Oreochromis niloticus: one gene and its partners. The protein of the gene in region 1 interacts with the protein of each later gene in a pairwise test. Links are inferred from orthologs where the notes say so. Each region holds a gene or a part of one and is shown in the gene's direction. Other genes may lie near its edges.

Region 1 (7,889 bases):
CAGCCACTTCCCTGCGCTCCTCACCCACCCGAAGGAGAAAATCAACAAGGTAACGTTCTCCGACTGTTTGTAAGAAACACACAAACTGATGAGCTCAAGCTGCTTTGTCAGTCATCTGGAAGTGATGAAAACAGAGACGTTGTGCAAGTGAGTGCTGCGTGAAAGGAAATAGATGGGGCAGATAGCTGAGAGCAGGAATTTAAAAGGTGCAGAATCACAAAGACGAAGAACCGAAGAGGACGCCAGCAACTTTATACCTTCAATTAGTAGCATAGATTAGGGGTTTGGGGGTGGGGATAAGGGGTAGTAGTGTGTACGTGTGTGTGATACATGGGTTGGTGGAGAAAGGGTGCTGAAGACCAAGCGTCTCTGCTGATATCGGAGTGCATCTGAGACCAGTCACCTAAAAAAAGAGGCCTCCTTTTTGTGACTGGTCGATGATTATAGCCTCAAAGTCACCCTCTCCCCACCCACTGCACTCTGTCTCAGCCGGGGGTCAAAACTCTGTTTCGACCCCTGGGTTCTGATCCAGCTCCCACTTGCTTTGTGATCAAACATAGACTGAATCTGTGACACAGCACATCATACTCATGAGAGAAAATCATCACTAACTCTTGTGTTTATGCTTTTGTCCTGTAGGAGGCAGTGTGGTTCCTGTCCAACATCACAGCAGGTAACCAGCAACAGGTGCAGGCCGTCATTGACGCCAAGCTGGTTCCCATGATCATTCACCTGCTCGATAAGGTTTGTATCCATCTTAAGTCGATCCTGTTTAATTTCAGAGAGCTTCTGGGTGATGGATGGGTTGCTTACATTGAATGTATGTTTTAGGGTGACTTTGGCACGCAGAAAGAAGCAGCCTGGGCCATCAGTAACCTGACAATAAGCGGGAGGAAAGATCAGGTAAGCCTCTCCCAAACACGTGAAAAATGTACAAGAAATGTGAAGTCGTTGGTGTTGAACATCTGTAAACATAGAACTGAAATGACGTCATAATATTTGCTGCTTTAAGAATAAGTTTAAGCTTACTCATTTTTATTGATGAGTACAATGCTCTTCCTTTTTTAACGCGGTGAGTGGTTGATAGTGCATCTCTGTGTCGTCTCCAGGTGGCACACCTGATTGAGAAGCAGGTGATTCCTCCATTCTGCAACCTGCTCACAGTGAAGGACGCTCAGGTTGTGCAGGTTGTTCTCGATGGCCTCAGCAATATCCTAAAAATGGCTGATGACGAGGCAGAAACTATTGCTAACCTCATTGAGGAATGCGGAGGTCAGTGTCACCTTTACCATCACATTTATCACAATTGCTGGTCTTAACTTGTGACACCAGGTGTTAATGTGTAATTATTTTTTGTTTCGCAGGTCTGGAAAAGGTGGAGCAACTGCAGAATCATGAAAATGAAGATATCTACAAATTGGCATACGAAATTATTGATCAGTTCTTCTCATCTGATGATGTAAGTTACTTAGGATATCTGCTTTTTTAATTATTATTATTTAGGCTTTCAAGTGATTTTAAAAAAAGTCTTCACATTGATCAAATGAACCAAAGTTTGGAAGATGAACAGGTTAGCTCTGAGTTGCCACATAGGAGGCTCCAGTTTGGCCATTTTCAGTTTTTTGCACCACAAATCATTTGCCGTTTCTCAATTCTCAAGTACGTGAGTACGTACTCACGTACTTGAGAATTGAGAAACGGCCTTTGTCTGAGTTTCGGACGAAATGCATTCTGGGATATTTAGCTGTACCAAGTCCACACAAGTCACCACCGATGCATGCTCGATAAAACGGGCGGAGCGAGAACACATCCGGGACTTTTTCGCGTTCTCGGTTTGATGCGTACTTTGAATTGGAACAGTACTTGGTCTCCGACTGATGACGTATCACGAGTACACGAGAACGCAAGTACGCACAAGTACGCATATTGAGAAACGGCAATAGTGTAAGTCTGAAAATGGATCCTGCCCAGAGTGGCTGTCCAAACTGCTAATTTGATCCGAGCCAGAGGTCCGAATCACTGTCAGCTTTAGGTCGTTACCATGGTGCTGTCGTACCACAAAGCAAGGTGGTTAATCCAAGGGGATGTGCCAAAGTGATTGTTTGTATTGACAGTTCTTCTATTTAGGATGTAGATAAACTTTATTATCCCTGAGGAGCAAGTTGGCAAGACAGCCCACCTCCAGAAACCCAGAATCACATACCAGAATTCACAAAGTTAACTTCAATAAGTAGAGCTACGTAGACCCACTTTCTTTAGAAAGCTGCTGATGGTCCCTGGCTCAGGAACAGTGGCTGGCTGTCGTCTTGACCTAACGCCTTGTCTTCCGCACAGTGTTAATGCTCCTTTTACTCGTCTGTCTTTCAGATCGATGAAGACACCAGCCTGGTCCCAGAGGCCATCCAGGGCGGAACTTACGGCTTCAACTCAGCCAACGTGCCAGCCGAGGGATTCCAGTTCTAGACGGCATCTGGGGTATTCTGGAGTTTTGTTCACGATGCAGCACTCTGTTCAACATATAAAAAATTAGGAGAGAAAGGGCGAGAGAGAGCGAGTGTGAGAAATTTGATCCATTGTGCTTGGCTCGTGGGATCCATGGCTGCATCTTATCTGAGAGAAAAATATGTGGATTTCATTTGGCATTCCAGGGGAACCAGCCCAAATGAAGTTTGAGATGGCGAGTGGGTGCGAGTGAGAATGAGTGGCTACATGTTGCAAAAAAAAGCAAAACATCTACATCGAATGCGTTGAGAGACATGCCGACATAACTTCTGTGTTATTGGAGCTGTCGTCCTCGGAAAACTACTTCAAATGACAAGAAAAACGAAAATAAGAAACTCTGTCTGCCCAGGGAGAACCAAGGACATTAAAAAATAATAAGAAAATCAAGTGATCTTGAAATATTACAATACAGCAAAATGCAGAAATGATTATAACTATGATTATGAACTGAGATGAACAACGAACCATCACAATTCTGCGGTCCTCCGACTAGAGAGGGCGCCAGCCTCAATGTGCCCCTCCCCCAATCGGCCACGCTATCAGACATGTGTGTGAATGGACCCATTGTGTACGAATGTCTGGACTCAGCGCTGAGGAGCCAGGTTCATCTCCTCCAACGAGACGCCCCCCCACGCGGGGCGCAGTCCTCTCCCCCTGGTGGGCGGGGCCAGGAGTCCGGCTGCGCGTGTTCGCATGTTGCGAGAGAGTGGACGGATGAGTCGTGTGTGCTTGGCTGCGTGCGTGAACTGGGAGTGTGCGAGACTGGGTGAGAACGCATGCAGAGATGAGGAAAAATGAAAAAACAACCAACAACAACAAAAAAAGATACAAAAACATCTGAAGAGAAAAAATTGCAACAATGAGGTTCGCAAAGGTTTCAGGAAGAAATTCTGCCTTTGAGAGGCTGATCTGCGAAATCCCTGAAAGAAGGAACTGTGGATATGAGAAAATCATCGTCATCACCAGGATTTTGTTTTTGATTTATTAAGTTAGTATTAATTGACACTGGACAATGTTATTGGCAGGTGTGGAGCAGCAGTGCATTGTATTAAGATGCATTTGGTGGCTTTTGGGCTTTTTCTTTTTGCCTCCAGTGTATTTTTTTTTTTCTTTCTTTTTTCCTTTTTTTATGACTTTGTTTTCCAGCTTTTAGTTTCATATCGCTTCTGTAAAGGTGATTGATGACCATCGTACTCCATCCTCACACCACATCCCTAACCTGCACACCACATATGGGCTTGATGCTGTGAAATTGTTGACACCTTCACTTTATAATCAACCAAATGACCTGTTCCTCCTTGTAACTCCTTTATTTTTTCTCCCACCCCCCTTTTTCCCTTCAATTTACAGCAAAATCACTGCTTTGCAGTACTGTTGCCATAGCTTTGATTGTCACCAAGGGAGAAGAGAACAATGGCCATTTCACGTAGGATTGTGAATCATAACCTTTGCATGTACTAAACTATAGCACAGTTATTTTTTAGGGTATTTTAGTTTCCTTAGGCTGTGGATACAGTGTAATTTTCATTTTAAGTAAAACTGTGCTTAAATGTTACATGTCTCCCCTTCCCCTTTTCCCTCACTAGTGTCTGATTTGCTAAATAATCTATATGGTTTTTGCACATGTACTGCAAAGTGAGGCCTGACGTCTTTCTGAAGGTGTGCTGGTGGGTTTTTATAGGTTTTGACCTGCCAGCAAAATCTCAATATGCATCACTCACTCAACCACAATCTGTTGTCTTTCGAGAGTAATCCAAGGATGCTTTTTAGTGAGAAAATGAGTTTATTTCAGGAGGTGGTTTAACCTCCCCCGCTTTTTTTTTCTCAAGGTCAGAGGGTGTCCCACACATCAGACTGGAGTATGTGGGGTTTCCTGAATAATATATAAACCCATGAACAAGTTTGCTGTAACTTTAGTACCTGAGTCCTTTAGCCCCATTACTCCCCTTTTGTCTTTCTGCCAGCTAGATGTACAAGCTTACCCCTTTCATTTTTTTGTGTTAACTTCAAACACTGTAGTAATGATTACACATTGTGCTCATAAATAAGCTTTCTGTTTGAACATAGGGGTATTCTTTTGCAGCATTCCTTGTTAGCAAACGTGGTTTCAAATTTAAAATTACGACCTGGAAAGAAAAAATAAATAAATGAATGAGGTGGTTCCCCCCCCCCCCCCCCAAGCAAAGTCATTTTTCGGGGAGATAGGATACAGGATAGGTTGTCTTCGAGAAAATAAATAGTGAAACCCAAATCGAGAGACTGTTTGTGTGTGTGATCTGTTGTGTGTCCCTGATAATGTCTTCGCTTCTCCTAACGGTTACAATTTTTCAAATTGGCGGAAAATCGAGTCCTGATTGGCCAGAGAGGCAGCTTCTGCTCGTGCGTGATACGGAAATAGCGGCGCCTCTGGGTGCTATCGGAAAAATGGATGACCATGAAAGGGGGTTTCAAAAAATGCATAATTGCGAAAAGAAATAGCTACCGCTTATAATTATTATTATTATTTTTTTAACTCGCACTCTTTACCATACGAGCATGCGCTCTAGAAGTCTAGCACCTTTTCCCGTTTTCTTTCTTTCATCGCTAACAGGATTTGCGGAGTGCACGTGAACACAGCACGCGTATGAGCTGACAGGAAGTGAAAGCTCTGTTGTTGGACAGACGCTTTCCCCCAGCTGACGGTGAGTTTGGGCTTGTTTTTGTTTCGTTTCTTTTAAACAGATTTCTACACGAAAAGTGGTGCTCAAGTTGTTAAAGTTGGTGTTTGTTTTTCTTTTTTTACGCCAAATCTAGAATCGGCATATGATGAAAATTAGTTGCTATTAAAGTACTGACCGCAACAGCTGTGTGGCTAGCACAGTTAAAAACATTAAAGAGCATATTTTAATAATGTACACTGTTTTTAACGTGTTACTACTTTTTCCACACACATTAAGAATGTAATATATGACACATGAGTGAAAACTGAACTGTAGGAGTCCCTGCCGCTACTTTACACCTCGGTGTAGATGGGTTTTATAGTAACGCTTTTGGATGTACACTTCCATACGTGGAGGAGACCACATTTGGCTTGATGTCGATTCTCCGCGGGCAGCTGGACATCGGTCACCTGTTTGAATCTGGGCGCCAAATTGGCCTCAGACTCCGTTTATGGATCAGGTTTTGTGAGGGACAGATGAACAGCGTGTCCTCACACAACTGTGTGTGTGTGTGTGTGTGTGTGTTGGACTGGGTGGGTGCTGGCAGAGGGCCTCCTATTGTCGCTGCGGTCCTGGCTGTAACAAGAGGAGAGAGCGCACAAACACTATAATATAACCGATCCGGTAATAAGAGCTGAGCCTGTTTTGGCTGTTCTCTTGTTTTTCAGTGAATGATCAGCTCTTTCTCACATTGGTTAGATTTAAACGTGTTTATATGATAAGTAGTAATTACACACCCAGAGCCAGTTTTATCAGGTAATCTGAGGCAATCTAACACACAATGTTCAACTTTTCTTTTCTTTTAATGTAAATAAATTATTTAGCACTAAGACTGTAGTTAGGACTGTTTTACTAACCTGTAACACTCTATAGTGACACTGCAAGTATCCCTTCTCAGTGATGTGAAAATACATTCTCTGAGATCCTCAGGTAAAGGTTTTGGTTGGTTGCCTTTAGACCCACCAATAGAGGAACTGTCCCTAACTCGAGTGTTTTCATAGGTATTCTTGTGGGTGCTAAGAGAAGATCTATGGGACTGTATGAGAGCATCAGGAGTGGCATAGAAGTATGTGAGGTGTGTGGTAGGAGTTGCAGATGGCTTTAAAGTGGAGGCGGGATTGTGTCCAGGATCCGCTCTGAGCCCCTTCTTGTTTACAGTGGTGATGGTCAGGCTGACAGATCTTTGTGGACTGACTTTTGCAGACAACATTGTGATCTATAGTGGGAGCATGGAGCAGGTAAGACATCCTCGGCGGAGGTGTTCTCTGGAAAGAAGAATGCAAGACAGAACATGCGTATGAATGAGAGCCAGACAGGTGTAACCGTGAAGGTGGATGAGTTTGCATACATGTAGTCAACCATCTAAAGTAACGGACAGTGTACAAAAGAGGTGGAGATGAGTGTGTGGGTGATTTTGTGATATCATAGCAACGAGAATGAAAGGAAAGATTTATGAGATTGTAGTAAGACCTGCTGTGATGGTTTGGAGACAGTGGCAGTGATTAAAAAGACAGCAGTTGGAGGTGGCAGAGCTGAATATCCTCAGATTTTCATTAGGAGGCACAGGATTAGAGATGAGCATATTTGTCACACTTGCATGTTTAAGATCATCAAACACATTTTAATATTAGACAAATATAATAAAGTTAAACACAAAATGCAGTTTTAAAATAATGATTTCATTGATTAAGGGAGGAAAAGTTATCCAAACCTGCCTGGTCCTGTGTGAAAACCTAATTGCCTCTCTTGTTAAATCATGGATTACTGTGATTAACCACATAGTTTGGAAAGCTATATTTAGTTTCACTAAACACACTGAGACTTGATTACTGGCAGACTTGTTGAATCAAGAAATCCCTTAAATAGAACCTGTGTGACAAAGTGAAGCAGACTAAAAGATCTCAAAAAGCAACACATGCCAAGATCTAAAGAAACACCTGGAATACAAAGTCATTGACATATATCAGTCTAGAGTCAAAGGTTACAAAGCCATTTCTAGGACTTTGGGACTCCAGCAATCCACAACGAGAGCCATTATCCACAAACCTGGAACAGCAGTGAAGCTTCCCAGGAGTGACTAGCCTACCAAAATTACTCCAAGACCACATCAACGACTCATCCAAGAGTTCACAAGAGAACCCAGAGCACAAAAATCCCCAGAACAACATTAACAACATCTGTTTGTGACCTCAAGCTGAAGTGCACTTGGGTTCTGCAGCAGGACAATGATCCAAAACACACCAGCAATTTCACCTCTGAATGGCTAAAGAAAGTCAAAATAAGGACTTTGAAGTGTCCCAGTCAAAGTCCTGACCTGAATGCGATTTTCAAACGGTTCATTCTCGAAAACCCTCCAATGTTGCTGAATTACAACAATTCTGCAAAGATAAGCGGGCAGAAATTCCTCCACACCTGATATTATCACAAACGTTTGTTTGCAGTTCTCGCTGGTAAAGGAGGCCCAACCAGTTATTAGGTTTTTCACACCGGGCCTTGTAGGTTAATAACTCGATCCTCACAATAGCTTTCAGCTTAAGTCTAAATTAAGCCCCATATTCACTAACACTTCATTTATTTCTCTAAACATGTGCAACAACTGGATTTTTGTCCTGCCAGATTTTCCTCTCCCCAAACCCTCACCTCCCCACCTGAGCGCAAGTCTCTGTCATGGACAACCTAGAGGAGGAC
Region 2 (7,683 bases), on another chromosome or scaffold:
AAGATTTAAACTTGTTACAATGTCATCCACTAAAAAGCATTAAAGAGTAACTTAATGCTGTAAGGTATAAAGTGTTGGGTCTGTGCTTCCACAAGCCCTGCTAGTTCTAGAGACTTATTCATCATGAAGAAAACAAGACAGTCAACGATCGATCGATTACACAGACGAGGGAGGCCTCGTCTGTGTCCACCACAAAAATGACCCCGACGATGGCCTCCTCTCGCTGCCTTTTATTGAGAAACAGTTCACACAAAACACATCCCAGCAAAGCAACGCCCACATGGTTCTAAGACAAGGCATTGTATGTATATGTGTGAACTTCTGTATGTAAATAAGAATGTGTGTGCGTGTGTGTGTGTGTGTGTGTGTGTGTGTCCTCCTCCTGACCAAAGAGGGTCATAAAAGCAGGAGCAACATCCTTGGTCATAAAGAGGGTAGTCTCCCCCACACCCAATGTATTGTTTACCATAGATAACAAAGTGAAACCATACAAAGGGCAAGAAGTTTTACCAAACATCAAAAAGACCTTCACAAGGATGTTGCCTGTAATAAAAGACTACAGCCCCCCACTCAGAACCTCGAGAATCTGGGGGAAGGACAGAAGAATCCTTTCATCACAGAGTTAAAACAATGTAGAGATGGTAAGCATAAAAATGACAACATTTAACAATCCACTCTAACATAAAGTGCCATGGAAAAAGTATTTTCCCCTTCCTGATTCCGTAGATTTTTTTGCATATTTGTCACGCTTAAATATCATCAAAAAAGCTTTTAAATTATTATATAATTTATTAAGGGGGGAAAAAAGCAATTTAAACTGACCTGACCCAGTGTGAAAAAAAATGATTGTTCAGTTCAGAACTAAAGAAGCCTCTTCACAAACTTTAAAGAAATGCAGTTGCCTTCTATCTCAAATTATTAAGATTTTAATGGCACTGTGAGTCATCATCAGCGACAAACCTAGTCCTAATCCTGTGCTTTCAGAATATGTAAATGTTTTTTATGTATTTCTTTAACATTTTGTAAAGCTTATTCCCCTGAGTATTTGGAATGAGGTGAGAAAAAAACGAATCATTCTAATCGACATGCATCAATCCCTTTCACTCGCACCTAATACATGAAGTTAGGGTTGAAGCTACGGTTGGAGGTCATGACCCACTCATAGGATTGAATTGTTTTTTTCTTAACGAAACCAAAATAAAACTTTATACCTTTTCCAAACCCAGACTGATGGCATATTGACCATATTATAATCATACAACAAGTCAAGTATTTATGTGACTACATTTAAAGCGAGGATTTCCTTGAGACCACAACAGCTAATTGTGTCACACCATGGTCCATTTTATTATGTATATTTTAAATGGGACAAGGACGCTGATTTCAGTCTTATTGCTTTAAGAGACTGCTGATTTCTCTCAGTAGCAGGTTATGGATTTAAAGAGGCACCTCGCATTGCCAGATCCAGGGCAGTCTCCTTCCCAATTCCTGTGTTGGCTCCAGTGATGAGGACCGTCTTCCCATCAAGACGAGTTGTGGACTTGCACACTCCTCCTGCTGCATATTTTCTGCACACAAACAAGACTGATTTATACTACACAAATTCTGCATCATCAAATGCAGCAGACAGCTCCATTTAAATGACTAGGAGCTCCTTCTGCAGTCTCTACATGCTATGCCCCCGTTAAAGCTGGCATTGTGGTGAAACCGGGTTAATTATTCACACAAAAACTTGGATAGTGAAGTGTGCAAGTGGTGCGAAACACACGCCAGTGAGCAGTGCCGCCACATAACCAATAGCTCTCTTGGAGTGTTGCATGCATATATAACTCCTCCCACGCTCCGGCTGCTGATAGGCCCGAGCAGCTCAGACGGAAGACACCCGGTTCATCTGTGCAAGAAAAAAAAACACCCTCCCACAGCTCAATTTTTCTATTTCATTGATCAGCAGCCTCATGTGAAATCACCATTAACGTAAAGCATTCACAAATAACGATCATGTGGCTTCATTAATCAAACTGATCCTCATCGTAATAACTACAACACACCACCTAAATGTCTTGTTAACCAAGTAATAACCTGCCCTGACATCCAGTGTTAAACTCTGCGTTTAAATTCTAATGACTGAGCGCGTGAAGTGGGCGCTTACCTTATTTGTGGTGCAAATAAAATCACCAGCAGCGTCACCACTCCGAGGCCCGCGATAATTAATAAAAGGAACATCATGCTATGGATCTGCGCTCCTCTGCCTCTTCCAGCAGGATGCTACCGAAGTGTAGGCGGAACAGCTGATGTCAAAGCAGGAATGGGGGTGCGAGCTGCAAACGGATGGGGTGAAGGTTGAACCATGCACAGGATCATGGGATTGTAGTTCGATGCGTGACAAGACGGCTACTGGAGACGTTACGTAACAGGGTACACCGAGTTTGCAGCTGGGCGCAGTGGTTTTAAAGTGAAATGTCATAAAAAAGAAATTAACCAAATTTAGTTAAGAAATTATTAACAACAAAAAGACAAAGACAGAGTCACTTGTTTCAAATGTTTCAAATTTTTTGGTAAATGTAATTCATCTGCCCCGTCTTAAGCACACACAGAAAGTCAGTTGAATTATATTTTAGCCATTTAACAGCAGTAAAAATCCCCTATAGGTCATTTTTTAAGCTGGAAGCTTAATGAAATTTGCTAAAATACAGAAAAATTGAGGCTGCTCTGGGTCAAATTTTACCCACATCTATTCAAATCGATTTTAGATTCACCACTCTGGGTCAGCTCAAGGAAAATTGCGGTTTTATGCAACTGTAGATGGCATCTTTGTGTAATTACCTCTTTGTGGTGCTGGACTTTAAAGGGGACCTTCAAATAAAATGCAAAACAATGATGCATTGTAATAACACAACACAGTAACTTAAAGTGGAGTTTTTTAAAAGTGGAAGAAAGGTATGAGCAAAAAAAATGAATAACTTAATAAATAAATAAAAGAATGAGTGAATGTTTATTGCACATTATCATTGTTATTATTATTGTTGTTGTTGTTGTTATTGCTGCCCCCCCCCAGGAAAAAAAAAAAAAAAGTCCAGCGAGGTAGCAAATTTGGTCAGCTGGTAGCATTGCTTAGGGCTATTGCCCTGTTGTAAAAGCTGTTCTTGAGTCCGTTTTGTCCATGACTTCAGCAGCCTGAAGAGGATGTCCAGTGATTTTTTGGGAGACATTAATGACCCTCTGAAGTGCCTTTTTGTGTGCCATGGTGCAGTTGGAGAACCATACAGAGATACAGTATGTCAGCACACTTTCAATGGAGCAACAGTAGAAGACAATCAGCAGTTCCCTCTTCAGGTCCAATTTTCTGAGGATTCTTAGAAAATGGAGACACTGTTGGGCCTTCTTTACAACCGCCGAAGTGTTTGAGCTCCATTGGGAGTCTGTGTCTATGTGCACACCCAGGAACTTTAAACTTTGTGTTTTAAAGGTATCCTGGCCTCCTCCTAAAGACCTGGATGTCAGGTTAACTAGTGATTCTAAACTGGCTATGTGAGATAGCACTAGAAGTGTTTAGTGTTATTCTTACCTAACTGAGATTAAAACGCAAATCAACACAGGGGTTGGTGGGGTTATAAGACTGTAAAGGCACCTAGGTTGCCATTTCAGCAAATGTGGGAAACACTTGTCCCACTCATGCAAAGTCTTCTACCACCGTGCCTAACACAGACTTGTTAGTGTGTGCCTAACACTTACAGAATAAAACAAGCAAGTTTTATGCTCTAAGTGTTTGTTAATATTCAATTAATATTGATAAATATAAAGGAAATCTTATTTTTCGGTCTGCTCCTCCCTTTAAGGGTCACCAGAGTGGATCATCTGCCACCATCTCACCCTATCCCCTGTTCCTCTTCTGTCACACCTGCCCTCTGCATGAACCTGTTCTTTGGTCTTTCTTGTTTCCTCCTGCCTCACAGACCTCGCAGGACTGTGTCCAAACCATACACCATAGCAGGTGTCTCTACCATCTTGTAAACCTTTATGAGGATGTTTTTATGACATAGTAGTGAGGGCAGTGTTAAACAGTTGTATTTGTTATACAAGAATATATATAATAAGTCCCAACAGGTCCTTAATGTGCCATTTTAACTTTCAATAAGATACATTGTAATTATTTTGACAGTGATGTTTTGATGTCTTAGGTAAAAACAACACAAAACAAAACAAAAAACATGAAATAATACTCTCCCCCTGCTCTCTGAAACATTAATACATGATTAATCACCCATTTAGACAGGCTATTTATACATTCAAAATAGATCTGTACTTTAAAATTCGTTATAGACACTTACTATGTGGATATTCCTCCATCTTCAACGAGGGGAACTCTGAATCCATGTAGTTTCAATAACCGAATAAACAAACATTTCCCAAGTAGCCCGGTTTAAAAACTACATTTCCCAGAAAGCCCCATTAACGTTGTCTCTGTAGCGCCTGAATGAAATAATTGTTAAATAATTATCCAGGTGATTTTAAAACACGCTTTCCACAACATTTCACTATTTTGTTTTAAATTCCTACACAATTGTGTTTGTAAAATATTTTTTCAATTTCATATCTAGTAAAAATAATTACATTTTAGTACGTTTGATTTTTGTTCCGGAGTTACGACGGTCGGTCGAAAACCATCCGGAAGAATCCCGAGGATCTGATTATAGTCCTAGCAAAACTACATACTTAAACTTGTGATCATAAACAGTGTTGTATTTTACAATAAAAGACAAAAATAATATCACAAGAAAGGAATTTAAACGACACGCAAAATGTCGTCGGAGGAATTCGAGAAGTTGCACGAAATGTACCGATCGTTGTACGAGGAGCTGAAGCTGATGCCAGACAAGGCTCAGAAATCTCACGGAGGTAAATACTTGCTCATAAAGCCGAGATTAGCAAAATAACTACGCCTTGGAATATAAGTTATGTGCTTTTAAGTAACACTTGTACTGTCACTCCTGCAGAGGAGAGGAAGAGGCTGGTGAGGACCTTTGATGAGAGACATGGGGAGGCTGAAGAAGTGGTGAGCTGTTTATCTTTTTCCCATTACAGCTAGCTAAAGTTCACTTGACTACTAGCTATGTCTTTTGCATGTAAATACACTTTTTTTCTTAAATTGAGGTTGAAATTAACTTTTTAAGAAATTTACCACCAGAGAAATAGTGAATTATCAAAATAATACATGCATTTGTTGTGCAAATAACACTTGTTCAATACAAAATGGAAACCTAGTGTACATTTTACCCCAAAAAAGGCATTTTTCTCTTGCCCAGTCTTTTTGGTAACCACAATGCATTTCAAGTAAAACAGTGAAGTTTAAAGAGAAAAAAAAACAACTTTTTTTTTTTTTCATTTTGTTGACACAAATCTTTTATAACTGTTATTCCATTGTTTAACATCAACATATTTTAAATAGTTATTTAAGAATTATGCACTCCAAATTGTGTCCTACAACATATGTGCAAACCTGTTACCAACACCTGTTTAACCTGGAAAAGAACGAGACAGTGAGTGACATGACAAAGATGCAGTGACATGATTGAGTCTTGTGCTAGCACCAGGGTTGGATATTTGCTTATACATTTTTGGGGGGGTTTTCTCCAAGCTTTTTTGACTAGATTGAATGTGTCACTCTCACCAAAGCGACCTTATTACCTATATTATCAAAATCTGAGGGATGTTTCTAATATGTTAGCCATCAAGTTTATAAGAATAAAACCAAAATAAAAGAAGCTCTCAATAAATTTAGTTAACAGCTCTCTGTAGTATGGTAAGTATGCCCTATTTTAATAGATTTTTAACTGTACATTAATTCAAACGGCACTGAAATGTTCTGATTTACGGAGGTTAAGCCTAAACTAGTGAATACATTAATAATATATCCTTGTTTCTATGGAGTAAGATCCTTTTTTGTCTTTTTCTCAAACAATAACATTTTCTTGTCTTTCTCCAGTTACAAGGAATGGAAGAGGAGCTGCGCGTTGCCCCTCTGTCCTATCGAAATTCAATGAGCACAAAACTGCGTATGTACCGGCGAGACCTCGGCAAGCTTCAGAGGGACATGAAAAACTCAGCACCTGGCTTTGGCTCCTCGTACAACACAGTGCAAGGAAATCATGGCATCTACTCTTCACAAAATCAGCACAGTGTGAGTGAGGGGCTTTGGGATGCTTGGGTTTGCTGTTGCAGATGTGTGACAGGCCCTGTCCCTAGTCTGTTTGGATGCACAAAACATTATTTTATGATGTTGCTGTTATGTCAGGCTGCATGTGTAGGGTAAGACTTTTTCTGGGTGTGTATTTTTTTTCTTCCTCTTTTTGCTGAGGAATATCAGTGTGCTGTAACATAAGAAAAAAATACAAATAGGAGACGCACAAATCAAGAAAACATCTTCATCAGTTTGACACAAAATCCTCTCAACTTATAAGGGCTTATTTTTGAGCAGCACTTACAGATCCAGACTGTATTATTTGACAGAGGATAACAACATTCATACTGCAGTTAGAAAATAATGACAAATTAAAAGCAAGAACTGTTTAAATTAAATAAAATGTAAGAGAAAAATGTCAACCCTGGTTCCTAGTGATCCTTGTGGATCTTATTAAAGCCATGCATTGGAATTGTAGAAGTTGTCATGACAGCAAAATGTCTATGTAAGTGTATTTCCAGAATAAATCTGCTTAAACTTGGTTTCATTTGTCGCTTTTCCCCATCTTTGTAGACGCACCTGCAGTCCCAGAGAGCGTTGCTTCTTCAGGGTACGGATGCTCTAAATAACGCCAGCCAGAGTATTGAACGCAGCCAGCGCATCGCTGCTGAGACAGAGCAAATTGGCACAGATATCATCGAGGAGTTGGGAGAACAGAGGGAACAGCTGGATCGAACCAGAAACAGAGTGAGCTGAGAATCATTATTACGCTTGTATTCTTGTACTGTGCTGTGCAAAAGTCTTTAGCCACCTGTGATGTCTATATGTCACTGACCTATGAATCGTTTAAGCTTAAAAAGGCACCTAAATCAAATGATGAACCAGTATTGATGTGTCTACACGTGACAGACAACTTATCACAAAAACACATTATTAGTTTCAAATTTTTTAGTCAAATATATGAAAAATGCCAAATATAACACAGTTCAACAGGCATAAAATACTATTTTTTGGACTAAAAATGTGATTTCCAAAAAGCTACTAGCTGTCAGCCTGACATATCTCTCTATCCTGTGCAGTCCTTAAAAATTTTAACCTAACTAAAACTTTAAATATTAACTTTCAAGCTCATTAGCATTTTAAATAAAAACTCTGTTTTTACCTTATGTGCTGTATTTTCATGCATGTTTGCACATTTCAATAAATCGTTGCATATATTTCCTATTTTCCTACCAAACTATAAAGAAATGAATAGTTGCTCAAGACTTTGGCACAGTACTGTAGGATGACGATATGATCTGAGATTAGTAGGTTTGTTGAAACTCTTCTGTCTTGTTGTTTTTGTAGCTTGCGAATACTGGAGAGAATCTGAGTCGTAGTAGAAAAATTCTTCGTGCAATGTCGAGGCGGTAAGTGCACCCTACAAGACGTCTTACACCACAGTAGTTCCTTCGTTTTTTTAATGCAAATTAAATATATTTTGTGTGAGTCTCATGATTCTGATG
Region 3 (7,511 bases), on another chromosome or scaffold:
GTCATGAATGTCTGGTGCACACAAGACATTCATGACTGCATTTCTCACTGTGAGAACCTGCATGACTACCACCATCATCAGCATTACTACCAGAACGGAAAGAGGGACGGTCCACTGGATGACCCGTGTTCTGTGCTACACAGAAATGTGTGAAATCTCTCAGCAATGTGAGCTATTTCTCTCTGAACCCTGACTCAAATACGCATGTAACTCCCATTCATTACTGTATTAGTAACACAGTCACATTAGTCAACACAGTCATCTCTTTTTATTATGACCTGACATACATAAGGATCTACTTCTTTGTTGCTGTTGTTGTTTGTTTCTTTTTTAACCATGGCTTTATATTGACTGCTTAAATAATAGATAGCCCATTCAATTCAACTTTATTTATAAAGCACCAAATCATAAAATTAAAAACTGCCTCAAGGTGCTTTACATTATAAGGTAAAGACCCTACAATAACATCACAATAATGTGATAGGATACAGTTAATCCTGTAGGGGCCATGAGATGTGAAATACATTAACCAGGTCTTTGAAAACACAGTGTTTGGTTTTGGTGTAGCACACCAAGAGTTATCAGATAATTTGTCTTCTATTTACTCCACCTGATTTTGGTACCTTTAACATTTGCAATATTTAAAACCTGTGCAAATTATTGCATGCATGGTATTAATCTTCACAGATTATGTTATGCTTTTCACTTCTGTCTAAACTCAAAACTGCAAAGAATCTCATCTCATCTGCTTGCTCAGCTGGAGCTGTCCTCCTGCTCGTGGTGCTGAAACAAACACAAGGAAACAACCAAACACAAAGTATTTGGAGAAAATGAACACGAGGCTTAATGTGGTTTAAGACTTGCTCTAACATACCTCTCAATATTGTCCATCCCTTTGCACCTGCTCAGTGCTACACAAGTGCACCATATCCATATCACTACTAAAAGCCCTTGTTCAATCTCAGCTTAGAGCCTTTTGAAATATTAATGTCTATGTGACACTTACTGTGCACTTGTATGGATCAAATTTTAAAGGAACAGGATCAAACCCTGCAACTAATTTACAGCACTTTGGTAAGAAACTATGAAATATATACATGTTTTATACTGAAGCAGTTGATCAGCTGCAAATTTAGTCAATGTTCTTGTCATCTAGGTATGAATTAGATCACACAAACACCCGCTATATGTTTGTCTAAAACATTGAGGTAAAAACATATAGTTTCTCCCCTTCATTTAAAGCATCTGCAGTGATTCTGAAGTCTTTGATTTTCAAACACGACCTTTTCACACCCACAAGGCTTTGTTTACTCCAACCTGTGACACTAATTCCGACCCTCCTTGAGATTTCTGAGATCTCTCTGAAAGCGCAATACCTCTATTTATAGAACACGCATAATTGGGAGCCTGGAAACAGGATAGGACTCCTCTCTAATCAACGAATAAACAACACTAATTGCCATCATTACTATCATTTATCTGGTGTTATCAAACGTGATGAGATGTGCATATATTGAGTCCTGTAAGATTACGCTATACATCTTGGCTAAAATCTGAATATCACCATCCTAAATTTATTTTCCTCCCAGGCTCTCATTATGGTTTGACATATTGTATTCCACTAAAATGTCAAAAGTCCATAGCAAATCTGGCATTTTTAAGGCCACGTCCTTTCAGCACAGTCGGGTGGAAATGTTACCAGATGTCAGTTTAGTACTCTGCCCAATTTCCGAAAACAGAAAAAACAGTCAGAAAAGGCACCGAAAAGGCTAGCTTTACTTACCGTAAAACCTCAGTGTACCTCAAGAATCACATTTATTTTACAGGGTAACCCTTGTGTTAAAACCCACATCATATGCAGCCGGATAAGCATCGAATCAACAAGTCACAAGAAGTTGACCGGTATCATTTTTTCCTGTGCGATTCCAACAGAGTCCAGACTGAACAACATCAGGCTACACAGACAGAGGGTGGCAGCATGAATGGAAGCCTCAGAGGCTTCTTATTTTATTAAAAACGGGCTCCCCAAGTTACACATAACGATGCTCACACAAGGTTTGCCACGCAGCTGAGTCCACGAGGAACAATCGGGAACAATAGGTGTGACAGAGAGGAGAAATGATGCACCTGGTTTGGGTGTAGTAGTCTGACACGTTGCCAGAGACAGGCTCGTCCTCACCAGCCACACCACCACCACCACCACCACCACACTGTACCGTGAACTTTAAGATCTTTATAAATAAAGGAAAAGGTATTGCTCTCCGTAATCAGACATTTTTATCGACTCTCGGTTCCCCCGCTTACTGCAGCACTACAGCAGCCTGCACACCCACCTTCCCTCAGCTCCGTAACTTGATGAAAACGATTGCGCCACTAATAGCGCAGTAAAGCCTTCCGGTTTGCATTTTGTATCACTACAGGCACGCACGGCTTTAATATTTACCTCACTCACCTTGCAAAACTCCCTTATCGCTGAGGTCTGGCGGTGATAGAGATGCTGCTGATTTTTCTTTAACGCCAAGAAACAAGAGAAACTCCCACCTTCGCAGGGGCCGTCTAACAATTAAACACCTGCTTTGGAGGCGTTAAGGGACCATCAAGCAATGGTGATGCCAACAAAATTTTATTCGTTTTATTCGAAGTAACATAAAGATATATTTGACCAGACATCCACCTTAAAGTTAGCTAGGTCGATTTAGGTGGTTAAATTAACTATATATATTTTTAATGTTAACTTTGAATACCAAATGCACGCATTATTAAATTAAAGCTACTTTGTTTTTTTTAAATATACATTTATCATTATTTCTGTATTTTGTATTCTTTATAAAAAATCTACAAAAACTTAAGAATATATCACAAGTGTAGATACAAAACAACTTTTACATACAGCATTGTTTTGTGGGTACAACTCCTCAGTCACTATTCATCTGTCAGATGGTCGTTGCCCCACCACACACCATTTAGTAGACTGTTTAAATTGTTTTATATTTCTTTGTGATGATATTTTTGAAGATATTTTATTTTTTATGTTTTAATATATATTATATTATATTATATTATATTATATGTTGCGTATTATGTTTAGTTTAATTTCTGATTATTTTTAACCTACTAAGATAATTGCTTTGCATTTCACATTATTGAAGGTATATGTTGTTCTACTTATTTCATTTTTATTTACTGTAACAAAGGAAATTCCCAACTTTTTGTTAAAAAAAGTCCCATATCTGATACTGTTTATACGCATGTTTCCTCCTCCACCCTGAAACGTTTTCATATTTCCATCCTCCTTCGCATTTAGAAGAGATCAACAGTGTGGCTGAACTTTAAAAGATGTCCAATTACCTTTGGTCCCTTCTTATATTTTAATGCACTACCTACAGTGTGTGGTCACAGGCGATTTCACTGTTGGCTTTGCCTCTTGTTCACAATGAGATTGGAAAAATTATTTGTAAATACTTTGCTTCCTATGAAGGAATGAGGTACAAAAGATTTTAAAGCTACAATATAATATTTCACAGGAAAATTTTAAAAAGGTTATATTTATTTACCTGTGCTCCCTATTGCACATGCTTTTATTACTTTATGAACACATATAATATCTCCTGTTTATATTGTTGTATATGTTTTTACAGACAGGTGTCTTTTGAAAAAGAAATCTCAATATCAATGAAACAGGATTTAATATTAACAATAATCCTATGTTACCTTAAAGGAGAGGTCTCTAGACTAAAGTAATGAAGTGAAAGTTCTTTAGAGACATTACTCTAAGGATACTGAGGATCTATCTCAAAACTTAACCTGGTAACAGATATGATGCAAAATGTATTAGTGCTCAAGTTAATTGTACTTTAAATAAAGAAAAATAATAAAAAGAATATTTGTTTTTAACAGGGGGAGGCCAATACCTGACTGATAGTGGTCCACTGGGTGATGGGTAAACATGCAGACTTACCAATGGAGTTATAATTTCCTGTTATATTGTTAGATGTTGAAAATTGATACCTTTATGACTCCTATGGAGTGTTTGTGAGAGTAAGTCATGTTAACAAAAGAAAGAAAATGCACTGAGCATGTTACATCCTGTGAGTAAAGCTTGTTTTATTGTAACTGCTAAAATTAGCTTATGTACCTCTGCGCTAACAGCATGGGAGGTCAGATAACTGAGGATACATTGCCACCTACTGAATTCTTTCTTTCCTGCATTGACCCTAAACACTGCAGACTGTTCACATGCTATAATAATAATAGCTGTTCACATGGAAAGGAAGTGAAGGATAATTAATCTTATAAAATGTAATATTATATAAATATATACTTATTGAATAGATGAATGTGGAAGTAAATATGATGAAATAACTATGTGAAAATAATAATACTTGTTTTGCTTTGTTTAAATTTCTTTTTTGTTTTGTTAGCAGGGAAAAGTGAAGAAAAAGAGGCACACGGACGCATCCGGACCAGCAGGCGGCGGTAGACAAAGGAGTTAATGTGGTGATGTAAAAACGACGTCAGTGCCTCTCAAAGACACCTTCTTGTGTGCGTTTGAAGAAGCTCCTGAGCTCCGAGGCTCCGTAGTGCTGAAAGGACAGCTCCTCCGCTCTCTGACATCTGCAGGTAGGCAGATGCGTCGCGCCATGGAGATGAAATTATGGGAAAATAACATTACTGGCGCAATCATTATCATGCTGGAAACGATATAATGTAATTCTGAAAGAAAACAGAACACGAAGGAGACTACCTTACAGTTATATTATAAATGCTTTCTGTTTTCTGTAGCATCCACAGTGTCGATGCCCTCTAATGAGGGACGTAAAGACCAACTTTTAAATTTGGTCTGCGAGACCGCCCTCTTTCCTTTTCGTCGTTTGCTATCTTGTGATTTGCACATCCTTCAGAGCTGCAGGTTATGCGATGACAGAGGAGGGATAAGACATTACTGCTATTCTCAGTGGCCCCTGGGAGTCCCCCACCCCCACTTTGCTCAGAAATTAGTTTTTAACTCTAAGCAGCAGGCTTACATTCTCTCTTCTATTCACATTTCTGCACTGTGCTCTTTTTAAATGGTTTTAATTCAGTGTTATTTATTTCAGGGTTTCATATTGTCAGGTAAAGAGCCTTCAGCAGTAGACATAGAACTAAACAATTATCCCCTGTGAGCAAGCACTTGAACACAACGGAAAGGAAGAACTACCTGATCTCTCCTCAGACCAAACTGTGTCCTTGGAAGGGTCATTCCCTCCAATTTGCTACTATTTAATTCAAGTATCTTAATGTAATAATCGCCCTACAAGTAAATGACTTTACTGCTGGATTAAGACTATTGATGCCCCTTAAATTGCAAATAGCACTGCCAATTCTTTAGGTACTTAGCAATCCTCATAAGCTGAGAATTTGTTTTGTCTATTTCCTAAAACTGTACCATAGTTTCTTCTGTTTTGGGGAATATTTGGGCTGCACGTTTGTGTTTGCATCTAACATAAAATCGGTAAAAAATGTGTTGAGAGTGATTCATCATGAATATCTGTGTTTGTATACAGAGACCTATTTTCAGCAAGTGTGTGTCTGATGGCACCTTGTGTTTCCTAATGCAAGTTTGTTATATTAAAAGCCTGATTAGTCATTAGAAAAACCATTTTCCAATTATGTCAGCACAACTGAAAATAGTGTGCTGATTGGAGAAGCATTAAGTGCGGCTAAATAAGTGCCTGGATTGGCTGTCTCAGTCTGATTATAGTCTCTAAATTTAAAAAAAGGACTGGAAAATCATTATGTTGTACTTGCTTTAAGGAATAAAGTTAATCCATGCAGTAAATAAAAAAAGAAATAAAAATAGAGAGAGAGAGCGAGAACAGATTTTATAAAACAGGAAGTACTCCTCCCTCTACAAAACTGTGCAAACATCAGGACCTTTACCTTAAAAAGCAGATGTCAGACTAATCCTGAGCCAGCATCTTCATTAAATTACACCCATACGAGCCAGCGTGGGGAGGTTTGTAAAGGGAGTATGATGCCCATGATGAGTGAACTACAACTGTGTATATGCACCTATAGAATACAAAAAACCACCTACAGAAATACTCTGATGATTCTTCAGTGGTTGGATGTATCAGTGATGGAGGTGGTCTTGGAAGAATCATCTGCTTTCAAATGTGAGTAAGACCCGAGAAATGGTGATCGGCCTCAGAGGACGGCTGCACCACTTGTGTCTATCCTGATGATGAGCATGGTATACTTCTCTGTGGTTTGCTGGGGGAACTGGGGACACCATCAGATGAATAAACTGAGTAGGAAGGTTGGCTTTGTGACTACCGGCAAACTGAACACGTCAAACGTGTTGCTTCTTAAATCAGCATGATTTTTAACATGCCATTTTGGGTCATTGTTCTTGTTATATTAGATAAAAACAAAACGTGTTTTGCTTTCAGAAATAAGAACATTTCAAACTGACCAGAAACTTCTGTGCAGTTACTTTCACAGTTACTTGCACTTCTTCTGCTAACTGTGTTCTTTGCTCCCACACAGATATGTTCACCCGGATGTTAAAACTGAGACTTCTCAACGCTGTAGCACCTGCGTACTTTTTCACCGCTACAGCAGTCACCTTCATTTTGCACTTTGGCTTCTTCATACCAACAATTTTCCCAAGTCAGGGTACATCACTGGAGGGGTCCAAAGTTTTACATACAGTTATTTTCCTTTTCTTGATGTTCAATGCGTTAGGGAATTACATAATGACTATTAAATACCCAGCTGAGAGTGCCAACGAGACTGTGATTCCAGTGTGCTCACCACACTGCTCGGATAAAGTGGACGCGCACTACCTCCTGAACGGCCGTCACTTTTGCAAACTTTGCAAGAAGGTTATCCTTAAGAGGGACCACCACTGTTTCTTCACTGGAAACTGCATCGGCAACAAAAACATGCGCTACTTCATCATGTTCTGCATCTACACATCCTGCACATGTTTATACTCTTTGGTTCTTGGCGTGGCCTTTCTAACAGTGGAGTACTCGATCTCTTTTGAGAACCCCCTGACCTTTTTGACTCTTCTCCCGTTCTCCACTGGTTACTTCTTCATGGGTGAGTTTTCCATTCAAGCTGATATCTCAGAGGGGGCACCAATTACCAATTCAATATTTTTATTGATGGAGTCTGCTAAAGTTTGTAAGATTCACAGCTTAAAATAATCTGTATTTATATCAAAATGGATCTTTGTGCAGCCTCTCAGTTCATTCACGTTCGGCTAACTTTCTCCTGATTGGATGCCATTTGCAAACAGAAGGTTAAAACAGCACGTCGGCAGGGCTTTTGCAAAGCTGTGTGGCTGAAGTGGTCACACTAATGATATTCGCTTTCACTGAGATCAAAATGGTCTTAAACTAAGCATTTAGGTCAGTCTGCCTGAGCTTCAGGCTAACAGGTATTACTTATATATACACTGACCTCATTTAATACTCTTTTCTTCACCACAACCATCCACCATTCTAACAATAATATATGTGACA

Evidence for each region. The genes of interacting proteins can lie anywhere in the genome.
Region 2: the proteins of trim59 (region 1) and vti1b interact in binary tests that used the Homo sapiens proteins (3 or more experiments, as listed by UniProt). The two-hybrid records come from large-scale screens. The link is inferred for Oreochromis niloticus from reciprocal best matches to the Homo sapiens genes TRIM59 and VTI1B.
Region 3: the proteins of trim59 (region 1) and zdhhc22 interact in binary tests that used the Homo sapiens proteins (3 or more experiments, as listed by UniProt). The link is inferred for Oreochromis niloticus from reciprocal best matches to the Homo sapiens genes TRIM59 and ZDHHC22.

What each region holds. Positions count from the first base shown.
Region 1 is NC_031979.2:23,923,452-23,931,340, forward strand, and holds the start of trim59 (tripartite motif-containing protein 59), read left to right. Parts: upstream 1-4,843; 5' UTR 4,844-5,183; intron 5,184-6,202; exon of another isoform or gene 6,203-6,439; intron 6,440-7,817; 5' UTR 7,818-7,868; coding exon 7,869-7,889. Other genes in the region: kpna4 (importin subunit alpha-3), read left to right, coding at 1-49, 640-744, 832-903, 1,110-1,272, 1,365-1,459, 2,368-2,463. UniProt on the Homo sapiens protein: E3 ubiquitin ligase involved in different processes such as development and immune response. Serves as a negative regulator for innate immune signaling pathways by suppressing RLR-induced activation of IRF3/7 and NF-kappa-B via interaction with adapter ECSIT.
Region 2 is NC_031983.2:21,977,704-21,985,386, reverse strand, and holds the start of vti1b (vesicle transport through interaction with t-SNAREs homolog 1B), read left to right. Parts: upstream 1-4,642; 5' UTR 4,643-4,799; coding exon 4,800-4,896; intron 4,897-4,994; coding exon 4,995-5,053; intron 5,054-5,983; coding exon 5,984-6,178; intron 6,179-6,751; coding exon 6,752-6,925; intron 6,926-7,525; coding exon 7,526-7,587; intron 7,588-7,683. Other genes in the region: rdh12 (retinol dehydrogenase 12), read right to left, coding at 1,450-1,568, 2,150-2,226. UniProt on the Homo sapiens protein: V-SNARE that mediates vesicle transport pathways through interactions with t-SNAREs on the target membrane. These interactions are proposed to mediate aspects of the specificity of vesicle trafficking and to promote fusion of the lipid bilayers.
Region 3 is NC_031983.2:10,874,072-10,881,582, forward strand, and holds the start of zdhhc22 (palmitoyltransferase ZDHHC22), read left to right. Parts: upstream 1-4,470; 5' UTR 4,471-4,620; intron 4,621-6,528; 5' UTR 6,529-6,530; coding exon 6,531-7,086; intron 7,087-7,511. UniProt on the Homo sapiens protein: Palmitoyltransferase that could catalyze the addition of palmitate onto various protein substrates and be involved in a variety of cellular processes. Catalyzes the palmitoylation of KCNMA1, regulating localization of KCNMA1 to the plasma membrane.